Linked DNA regions of Oryzias latipes. The protein of the gene in region 2 interacts with the protein of the main gene of each other region in a pairwise test. Links are inferred from orthologs where the notes say so. Each region holds a gene or a part of one and is shown on either strand. Other genes may lie near its edges. The genes, in order: rhoq, trip6 and rad23a.

Region 1 (3,653 bases), on a different chromosome or scaffold from region 2:
TTTTGGGTTTTTTTGTTTTTTAATGGCAATGAGCTTCTCTTCCACACATAAAGTATCTGTTGCTATGGTGATGCAACAAATTCTGCAAAAATTTCTCAGCAAATTTACACTGGATGCAAACCAAAAATATGTCGAAATTTACCAACATAGCTAAAAAAAAATGTGATAGCAGAAGGAAGTGTACTGAGTGAGTAACAGATTAAACTGCAAGGAAAAAAACAAAATTAAAACTGAACCAGACCTGTGAAACCAAAACCCGGCTCCTGAGGAACACATGAACCACTTTAACAAGGTTGAATAGAAGTCTATCCTCAAATCTCTCTTTACCCCAAACTACCTCTTTAACCTTAGATGTAGAGTATTTTTTATTTTAATTTTTTAGGCTGACAGCCTGAAGAAGACCATAATTAAAGCAGCAGCTGGACTCCCCTCCATACATTGTGTGATGGAACAGATTTACCAGACGCACTCCTTCTTTCTTACAGTTCAGCCTCTTTGTTGGAGGTTTTGTCGAGGCAGCAAAAAAAAACAACCCAAAAAAGACCACTGACTTGAAGAAGTGAAAGCGGAGACAAAACTTCTTTTGGAAAATACCTTTAACCTCCTCAGTAGTTAATGTTTGGGCTATCCAAGGAGGTTCACGCGTTTCTGTAGATTTAGTCCTATTCTGAAAATGTGAAACCAAATATCGGATCATTTCTTATCCCTCAGAAGTCTCTGAACTCACCTGTGCATTAGCCAATCACATCAGCTGAACCGGCCCTTAGTATAGTTTTCATTCAAAATCTAACATCAACACTTTTTAGCTTTGAATTTTTTGGTTTCATACAAACATAACAAGAGTTGTGACACATTTGTGATTCTGCTTGGAATAAACCCTTTGAGTGGAACCCTTTTTATTTAGACATTTCTGTGTTGTTGTTTTTTACCTCGTATTTACTTTGTGGATTCGTTCACTTTTATTTTCTCTCTGGATGTTTGATCATTGTTGTAAAATATTAAACCTGTTTGATATCATTTTTTGTGGCTTTTGTAGTAAAAAAAAAGACGAAATCTACAACCCGAATTGAGTTTTTGGGAGTTTCTGGTTGATTTTTGAATTATTTTTTACTATTAGGGCTGCACGTCATCAGGAAGACTCATTTCCTGATATGAGTGATCTATATTGCGATGACGATATCATACAACAGTTTAAATTAAATAAGATAACATAACTTAAATTACCTCCAAATGACCCTCGTCTACACAGGAGGCGAGCATCTAACATCAAAGGGCTCCATCCTTGTGGTCAAATGCATAGATGGATTAATTTGATTCGTTAAATACTTCAAGCTGCCATAAGATTGTTTTAGCTCATTTAAGGTTACCGGTTTTATGATATGCATATTGCACAGCTTGATCTCCAGATAACGATATATTAGCGATTTATTGTGCAGGCCTATGTAATATAATGAAAACTATTAGTAAAATATAGAAGCTGGGATTATTGCCACACAAAAAAAACAGTTTTAATGGTAAAGTATTAGAGCAAACTGTAAAATAATTAAAAGAAAATGCTCCAAAAGGGTTAATATAGAGATTTCTTTTTTCAGAATGCTTCGTTTTTGAACCAGAGCGTTTTAATTGGCTGAATCCAGACCAATTATATCACACCAGGAAGTTTAGAAAATGGTGTCTATGCCAAACTCTCCATCAGTACACAAGGCTGTGCTGTGAAGACGATCTGTGAAACCTTTGGAATCGTCTGGATGGAGAAGGATGAAGACAGAAAAAAGTTATATTTGAAAAAACAAACTCCCTAACATGAATCCGCTGCTGTGCGAGTGTTTGCTTGTCTGATTGAGTTTGTCTCATGTTTGTGTGAGGCTGAGTCATCTCTAATTACCTGAGAGGCATCGACTCTGCGTTTCTCCCTGCTGCTTTCTGAATGCCAGCCGGAAGAAAATGTGAGATGGATCACAAGCAAAGGGTTGCTGTTTTTTTAGTGAATGTGGTTTTGTTTTTTTTGCTTTCACCCCTAAAATAGTCGGACATAACGGTGTGTGGTTGTCATGTTCTGCAGCTGCACCTTTAAGCCTTTAAGAAGGTGAAACCATTAATCCAAAATGGGGGACAAAACCCATCATCTTTTGTTGTCTCTGCCCAATATCAGAGCTGTGATAAAGGAAATCATCTTTTAGTCGGTAGGGAACAGAAATGAAGCAGGTCTGCCCTCTGACTCCAGAGATTCACCATCTTTGTTTCTTTTAGGAGGACTACGACCGGCTGAGGCCGCTGTCTTACCCGATGACCGATGTCTTCCTCATCTGCTTCTCCGTGGTCAACCCGGCCAGTTTCCAGAACGTGCGTGAGGAGTGGGTGCCGGAGCTGCAGGAATATGCCCCCAGCGTCCCTTACCTGCTCATCGGTACTCAGGTTAGTTCTTAACACCCGTGGAAAAAAATTTTACATCCATTTTACCGTAAATTCTCAATTGTCCTCATCAGTTTTTGGAAGATAAATAAATATTGAAGCTTTTGCTAGTTTGGGAGAGAACTTTTTACTTAAGTGCACTTTTGCAGTTTGCTTCCAAATGAATGTAAAAAACAGTTTTCCCTTTTTTTCTTTTGGTTTCCATGCTTATCATTGAGAAATGTATTTTTTTGCTACAAAGGGACCTTATTTTTCCCTAACCTGGTTAAGCGTGTTAAAGTATTGTATTAGAAAAGGGTTTTCCCACTGACTGACTTCACGTTTAGACTCAAACTAAGCTGTCACTCCGTTTTGTTTTTTTGCATTTGCATAACTGCAGGACACGCATTTCTGAGTATTTCTCTAAAAACCTGCACTCTGAGCACCGGCCCCTCCCAACCCAGGAATACGAGTCAGATTCACACGAGCTGATGTAGACAAATAAAGAACCGCCCCTTCCAGGAAGAGTCTGTCCTGCCAGCACCGCCCCCCCCAGGCTAACAGACACGCCCCCATTCTGCACAGAGCTAGCGATGATCGGCTAAACTCTTTCCTTTTATACGTTCAGTATGCTCATCCATCTTTCGGATAATTAAGTTTGGATGTTGTTTGTTTTGCTGTGTGGGACGCTGACACGCTGCTGAGGCCGGCTCTAGGATGATGTCGTGAAATGGGCGGACCCACAAGGAGCGCAAGGCGGAGCCTCAGAGAAAGAGGCGTTTTACTTCCTGGTTGGAAAAAAGCTCAGGAAAATAACAGATATTTGATTAAAACTTCATTCTTTTGTGTGCCAAAGGTAATATATTATCACATGTATGTATGTATGTATATATATATATATATACATATATATATATAGATAGATAGATAGATAGATATATCTTGATGTAGTTTACCATAAAAGGCTTAAGAATAGCATGGAATAGGCCATTTTAAAGACTCGCTTTGCTCAAATTTGTTTCTAAATGTGTTTGTGTGACATTTTTCTGATGATAATGGACACGTATAAAACAATTAAGATTAAAATGACATTTCTGACTATTTTTGTACGGCTGGATAGCTCGAATATTGCTCGCCAATTTTGTTGCAGCGATAGTGTTGGATTAGAGTATGTGAGAGGCTGTAAAATAGCAGGAGACCAAGTACACAGGAAGCTCTCGGTAACGGGAAGGGGGGCGGGTGTTGCTCAACGCCAACAGGCC
Region 2 (3,653 bases):
AAAATTTCTAGGTTTTTATAGCTGTCCATGATTTAAGGATCTGGCTTTATAGAGTTCATATAGAAGACATCCAACACAGTAGTTTAAACAATCCTTCTGTTGCTATATTTCTGTTTGTACAAAAAAATAATAAAATAAACTGCATCCACTGCTGCCTGATATGAAACACTCCAGGAAGAAAACGGTCAGCCTTTGTAACTTTGGAACATCTTGATGAATTCAGTCATGATGTAACTTTTGCAAAGCAGTGAAATGGAAACAGGTTTATTTTTCTTATTGTGTGATTGCTGAGAAATCTGTGGCCTTCTTTGCTTATCACAAAGATTTCCTGCCGTAAGAGTTTGAGATGTGCGAGCTTTGAAACGAGGTCTTTTAAAGGGAGGGAATCAACAAAACTGGTGTGAGGAATGTGGCAAAGTCAGATTTTAACTTTTAAAATCCATTTAATATAAACACAAGACATTAAGGTTACTTTATAGTTGTATAAAGTAATACTATAGCAAGTTCTTTGGATCAAAACACAACTTTTAAAAAAATATAATTTAAATTAAACTTTGATAAAACAATTTTGTAATCCTAAATAGATTATGTTGTGGTGCGATTCTCTGCTTAAGAAAAACGTCTTTTTTCTTTGTTCCGATATTCCTAACATTTTAAATCGATGCTCTGAAATGGAGCGCGTTTTAAAGACTTTGTACCGTCGGTGTCCTGAAAACCATCAGGTGTTAGTCGGGGCTTTTGACAGCCCAGCTTTGAGGCTCTGACGCCTTTATCCCACCAAAAGTACCGGTAAATGACACATTGTTGTGATGCAGGTGTTCGCAAATGAATATTATTACACAACATTTCCTGACTCCGGTTTTGTCTCGGTTTCGAATGGAAATTCATGATAGTGGAGTGTAAATAGCCAAACACAATAACTATTGTGATGGATAACACAGATTTGCACCTGCTGGTGTGCTTGTGTGTGTATGTGTGTGTGTGTGTGTGAGTGAGCTGGAGATTGTTTGTGTCTCTGCGTTGAGTAAGGCCTGCTGGAAACCTCTGAGCGTTAAATTTACCCATCAACATAAACTGCATTGTTTGCTCCGTCTCCCGTTGCCATAGGAAACAAAGGCGGAAGCTTCCTGCGGTTTCCATTGGTTACCTGATATTTACAAACACATCTCAGCCAGAGCTGCATCTAAGTATAGTGGATTAAAGCTGAAAATTCTTAGCAAAGGGACTCATTCATTACTTCGCACTTCCTGTGTTGTCAGAGCACTGAGGTCTGCCATGTCTGGTCCCACCTGGCTGCCCCCAAGGAACCTGGACAGCCCCGAACGTGCCATCCCCCAGATGTCCCACTCCTCCGGGGCAGCGATCTACCGCGCCCCAAACAAAAAGGCCATGTCAGACTTCAGAGCAAAATATGGTCCGTATGACCAGAATGGAGTGGGCGGGGTCACCAACAGGTACATGGCGACAGGAGCCACAGGTAGGAAACCCTCAACATCTGGAGTCAAATCTGGGTATAGGCTACGTTCACACTGCAGGGCTTCATGCTCAATTCCAATTTTTTGAAAAAAATTGTTTTTTTTGCAAGGCCATTCACATTTCCAATTAAATGCGAACTTTTGTGATGTCCTATGTGACCGTGAAATGACCCAGAAGTGACCCGCATGCGCAGAAGAGTACTCAACGGTGACCGACGTCACTCGTTGTTTGCAGAAGTAGCTAACGTTAACAATGGATGTCAACAACAGTGTTGTCAACAGCTAAGCTCCTTTTGCATTATTGAATTCATTTTCACAAAGGAGCCAGCGCAATAACAATCTTCTCATTTTAATAAGGCATTTGAGCTAGGATCGTCTGTACCCACTGTTGTGGAATGGAGATGTGAATGTGCTGGGGCCGCGAGGGCGTGTGTAAGAGAAGTAAGAGAGCGCGTGCAGCGCAAGAGTAGGTGAGGGGGGGTGCAGTGGGGGCGTGTATTCGTATTGTGTCTTACGGAGGAAAGAGAACGATAATAAAAGAAGGTTTTCCCAGAATAAATGCTAATGAGTCTTTATTAACCCGCTCTGGAGAATCTGAGGGTCCAAACGGGGAAGTGAACCCCGAAGGAGGATCCTTCGGCCGTGGAGAAGGTCTCCCTCGCGCTTCTGTCCACGGACGGAAAGGATAAAAAGTCTTTGCGGGAAAGGTTCAACACCACGCTCCGCCATTTCGCTGGAAAATCTTTCAATAACCGGCTGGTTGCGATAAGAGCCCTTGAGTTTGGCCTGAATAGAGCTGTCACCCCAAATATGAATCCAACCGGTGACCTCGCTTCCCTTCCACTGACTGGTCTCAGCAGCATCGTACGCCATGGTTGATGTTTATGTTCTCGTTCCCGCCTACTTCAACGCAGAATTATGACTTTTGTAGCATATCGATGACGTACGGATCGGATTCATGTGGCCTGGCCGTTCAGACGGAAGTCGCATTTGAAAAGATCGGATCTGTGTCGTTCAGACTGTCATGAAAGATCAGATACAGGTCGCATAGGGACAAAAAAATCGGAATTGGGTCGTTTCAGCCTGCAGTGTAAACGTTGCCTTAGATCCACTGGAAACATTTTTGTGTTTTAGTTTGTAACTTCAAACTTGCTTAGTTGTGTTTTTGAAACATTTTGAAAGAGGAAATGATAAAGTAGTTCTGTTTACCCAGAACGGGAAGTCTTCCAAGATTCCTGAAACTCTTTTCTTATAAACATCCATCAAAACAAAAACAAAAAAAAGTTTATCATTTGCTGATTTAGTGTAAAACCTTTTCTTAGCTTTTTATTTTTTTTATTTTTACGTTTTAGCTGCACATCAATATTTCAATTTTATTCTGAAAGAGCTCATCTTAAATTAGACAACACCATGTAAATGAGCAGTTTTGATCAGACTTGTAGAAAAAAAGGTCTGGCTGCTAAGAGACAAAAAGTGCAAATAATAATAATTAATCACTGAAAAACAACCATAAATCATAAATTGTTCTATTGATATGAGCGAGTCGTAAATACGCATCATTATATTTATTTTACAACAACTTTAGAAGAAAGTCATCATTGGTTTTCAAAAAAAAAATTCCTTATGGAGATCTGAATCACATCTGTTTAAAAAGGTTCAATAGTTGTGAAAATGCTAAAGTTAAGTCACCAAACTATCTCACATGACTATCAATCATCCATTTGTACTAGTTGATAGTTTACTATTTTTACTTGACTGTTCAAGCTCCTGCTCTGTTCAGGGGGCTAAATGATAACAGAAGCTAATAGAGTCAAAACAGGGACCAACCTGGGTCTGTTTACTACATTCATTTTATTTGAATGGTTCAGATTGGTACTCTGTATCAGCAGATGGTCAAAATTAAATGAATTGGATTGAGGAAAAAAAAAACTGATGAGGACATTCCTGGTTTTTTAAACTCGTCTATTCAAACTGTTCTGTGGATTTAAACAAACGTCAAAAGCCAACAAGTGTCTTTTATTTTCTTTTTCTTTCAGATGAATTCAATAGTCTCACTGCTTGACTTCCCAAAAAACTAAAAGAATATTTTAACAAAATAAAAGCATGCTGTAGTCCTCCATTTAAACTACAAAGCTTTAAAGGTTGAAGTAATATTAGACATTCAAAGGCGTCTTTTAC
Region 3 (3,653 bases), on a different chromosome or scaffold from region 2:
CAAAGATTCCTTATTTATCTTGGGAATTACATTCTAAAAATAACCCTTGATAGGAAATCTGCAAAGTAATGAAGCTTTATATGTACAATAATTCTGGTATTTAAGGCTGTAAAGCTTCTCACTACACACCTGTCTACGTTTCTCAGACAAACATGAACATTTTCACACTTTTGTCTCTTGTTTAAAGTCTCAAAGTTCAAACCTTCACAGAATCTAAGGCCAGTATTGTAGAATGAAAATAGATCTGTTTATAGTAGAAAACACTGATGGTCATGTTTCTGAAATCAGGTGGTTGATTTTTTTCGGCTTTTCTGCTTTCTTCTTTTTTTAAAATTTATTTAAAATGTGTTTTTGTGGAGGGGTTGCACAGTGGTGTAGTGGCCAGCGCTCCTCCCTCGTAGCGAGAAGGTTCTGGTTCCAATCCCAGCCGGGTTTTGTCTGCGTGGAGTTTGCATGTTCTGTCTGCATGTGTGGAACTCCAAAAAACATTCCAAAAACACGCTTCATGGTTAATTGGTGAATCTCAATTGTCTCTAGGCGTGAATGTGAACTGGCGACCTGTTCAGGGTGTAGCCCACCTTCACCCAATAGTAGTTGGGATAGGCTCCAGCAACCATGTGACTCTAAAACTGATTCTGCCGGTTTAGGGGATGGATTGATGTTGTTTTTTGTCGATTTTGTTGAATAATTTAGGCGTTTGTGCTGTTTAAATGTTGGATTGATAAAGCTCTTCGAGGGTCTGAAGTCTTTCACATTAAGGCGGATTTGTTTTACTGTATATAAAGCTAAAATAACGTGATAGGATTTCAAATCAATCAGGATTTTCCTTGTCTTTTGTAGCTCCAGCGGCGGGAATCAGGGCCTGGACGCCTCTTCAGCGTTGGGTATGTGACGCTGAACCCTCACCTGATGACTCTATGCTCCGCCTGCAGTTGCTGCTCTCATCAACACAACACAAACCCTTCCTGTAATTAGAGGGCGACAAAAGCGAGCTGGCTCTTGTTGCGGGGTCACACAGAGGGATGGGGAGTCCCATGTGATGCAGTTATGAGCACATCTGCTGCACGCAGAGGCGACAGGAAGTCACGTCATTTGTCAGTCAAGTGCCAGAGAGCCTCTGTCTTCTGCGTTCAGCCTTTTGGTCTTGAAGTCAAGTTGAGACCGTTCCCATTTAAAACAGGGGAGCCTGACACAATAATCATGAAATGTTTGGACTATTCAAATCCCGAAACTCTTTATTTGACCCGTAAAACTTGACTGATTGTAGCTCAGGCTTGACCCCCTTTGCACAGAGGTTTGATTCCCGGTTTGTGTTTCAGTGACTGGAGCGGAGTACGAGGCCATGCTGACGGAGATCATGTCTATGGGATACGAGAGGGAGCGAGTGGTGGCGGCGCTGCGGGCCAGCTTCAACAACCCGCACAGAGCCGTGGAGTACCTCCTCACTGTACGTATGCTGAGGCCCCGCCCACCTGCCGGATGGGACGCTGCCTCTGAGCTCCCAGCCAGGGTGTGATGCTCTCACTACCGTAACCCTTCGACTGCGTACGCAATTCTTCTTTTCATTAACCTGTTTTTTAGTAGGGAATCAACACGAATCGGCTGATTCTGACACGGACAAAAGCGGCTTTTCATGTTGGCTTTGCACCGATAGACCACACATTTCTAACTTTAAAAGTGTTGCATGACGGCGCAAAGCTGTTTCCGCCACGGCAGAATCGGCTGTTGGTTGTGTAAACACTTGAGTCCTGTAAAGTGTTGCCCATCAGTGTGAAGCTCATTTTCTCCACTTCAGAATCCGTTGCGTGAACAGTCGTAGGGTTACGGTAGTGGAAAGAATGTAAACACTGGCGCTAAAGCTCTGGTGTCGCTGGACATTCACACAACAGACATCCGACCAACAGGAGGTGAGGTTGTGTGAGACGTTCACACCAAACGCGTATCTGACGCGTCAGATCTGCTGCTTAATGTTTATCCAAAGAACGCGTTCATAAATGGACGTCTGAGACGAGCTGCCGGTTCAGATTTTGGAAGCATTGACTCCATATCCCGTTTACAGTGCATGGAAGACACGGATGATGTTTAGAGATCAGGTTTACGTGTTTTAAAAGACTTCTACAGAAACATTGGTGATCCCGCCTCCACGTCTGGGTTCATGACATCATTCAGAGACTCTCCCGGTACGCTGAGCTTCACCGTCTGCTGCAGGAGCTGCGTCTGATTGACAGCTGCTCCCGACTCTCCCTGACCCAGTTTGACGACTCGCTGTCCCGCATGAGTCCTGGGAGGGAAAAAATACAAATGAGAATCAAATTAGAGGAACTTTCCATTATTGTATCGACGGAAAAAGCAAAACAAAATAATGGTCCTAATCTTTTCAGTGATTCCCGATTGCATCACTGAACCCGCCACGCCTGATTGGTTGACATGCGGTTGAAGTTTAATTCGACTCGCTGCGATGCCCAAAACATGCTGCTGCAGAACCAACGTTCAGACCCCAGATGGCGTCTGGACATTGATGCGTGAATCGCATTTGGTGTGAACGCGGCTTTAGCGACACGCACCCGTACAGGTGCTGCGGGGTTTTAGGTCGTCTGGGACGTGGAAAGTCGTAGCGAGGAGCCTACCGCCACTCTTGAACTGTTTATGCAGAAAAGCCAAAGCTTTGCAACGTTTTCTCTGTCAGAATTACTAAAAAGTAACGTAAACAATCCAAGAGCGTGTGTTTTTTGTTGTTTTTTGTCGCTAGTGACAACGTAGGTGTTAAAGGTTAAGGAAACGCAGGTGTCTTGGAAATGTCATGAAATGGAAGGTACCATTGGCGTGCGTGTGGTAAGTTTGTCGTTGGGATGATGTAAGTTGCACGTGATGCTGTTGTATGGCCCCCTAGTCATCAGTAAGGCGTCACTGACGACATGCTATGTTTGATACGCAGGTGCCTGTAGGATGTCCTCTGTCTAATTTCTAAGTCAGGCTGCATGTGAGGAGCGCGCACGTGTCACGTGAACAGCACCACCGGCTCCTTTCTGCTGGAATGAGGAGGGTTGAAGACATGAAAGTCCTGACGACACGCCTGTGTCTCACCTGCTTCATCCTCACGTGTTGTAGAAGCGTTCACTGCGACCTGTCGTCCGTAGAAAAAACTGCGCACGAGCATTTTCGCCTTACAGTCTACGGTGTTAAAATGGTCCCCCAGGTGTGCCCACGTTCCCCCCACAGACAGCCGTGTCCACCTGCGAGTGCGGTGGAGACCACAGCTAAAGCCTCTGGGTGTAAATCTGGAAATGAAGGCGTGTAACCGCATCCGCTGTGTGGCACCAGCCGTCTGATTAGGTCGAACTTGTGACTCTAGATGCCTCAGAATGAAACATCGCTGTCCAGCTCAGGAAGTGGTCGCTCACAGGCGCTCTTGTGTTTCCAGGGTATTCCCAGCAGCCCCGTGCAAGAAAGCAACCCCCCAGTGCAGCCCCCCACCTCTGGATCCACAGACGCCCCCTCTCTAGCAGAAGGTATGAGACCACAATGCATTGCCTTTGAATGATTTGTCATTTGAAAAAATGTACATAAATGAGTTTTTATGAATTATCCACCTTTTCTTTATCACAACACAGAACAAAGTTGTCATAAAATGTTCCTATTGATTAGGTTTTTTA

What was found.
Region 1: the proteins of trip6 (region 2) and rhoq interact in a two-hybrid assay, tested with the Homo sapiens proteins (2 studies listed by BioGRID and IntAct). The two-hybrid records come from large-scale screens. The link is inferred for Oryzias latipes from reciprocal best matches to the Homo sapiens genes TRIP6 and RHOQ.
Region 3: the proteins of trip6 (region 2) and rad23a interact in binary tests that used the Homo sapiens proteins (3 or more experiments, as listed by UniProt). The two-hybrid records come from large-scale screens. The link is inferred for Oryzias latipes from reciprocal best matches to the Homo sapiens genes TRIP6 and RAD23A.

The regions. Positions count from the first base shown.
Region 1 is NC_019873.2:6,511,419-6,515,071, forward strand, and holds part of rhoq (rho-related GTP-binding protein RhoQ), read left to right. Parts: intron 1-2,250; coding exon 2,251-2,415; intron 2,416-3,653. UniProt on the Homo sapiens protein: Plasma membrane-associated small GTPase which cycles between an active GTP-bound and an inactive GDP-bound state. In active state binds to a variety of effector proteins to regulate cellular responses. Involved in epithelial cell polarization processes.
Region 2 is NC_019876.2:14,756,002-14,759,654, reverse strand, and holds part of trip6 (thyroid receptor-interacting protein 6), read left to right. Parts: intron 1-1,259; 5' UTR 1,260-1,275; coding exon 1,276-1,477; intron 1,478-3,653. UniProt on the Homo sapiens protein: Relays signals from the cell surface to the nucleus to weaken adherens junction and promote actin cytoskeleton reorganization and cell invasiveness. Involved in lysophosphatidic acid-induced cell adhesion and migration.
Region 3 is NC_019866.2:22,938,701-22,942,353, reverse strand, and holds part of rad23a (UV excision repair protein RAD23 homolog A), read left to right. Parts: intron 1-840; coding exon 841-884; intron 885-1,319; coding exon 1,320-1,447; intron 1,448-3,421; coding exon 3,422-3,509; intron 3,510-3,653. UniProt on the Homo sapiens protein: Multiubiquitin chain receptor involved in modulation of proteasomal degradation. Binds to 'Lys-48'-linked polyubiquitin chains in a length-dependent manner and with a lower affinity to 'Lys-63'-linked polyubiquitin chains.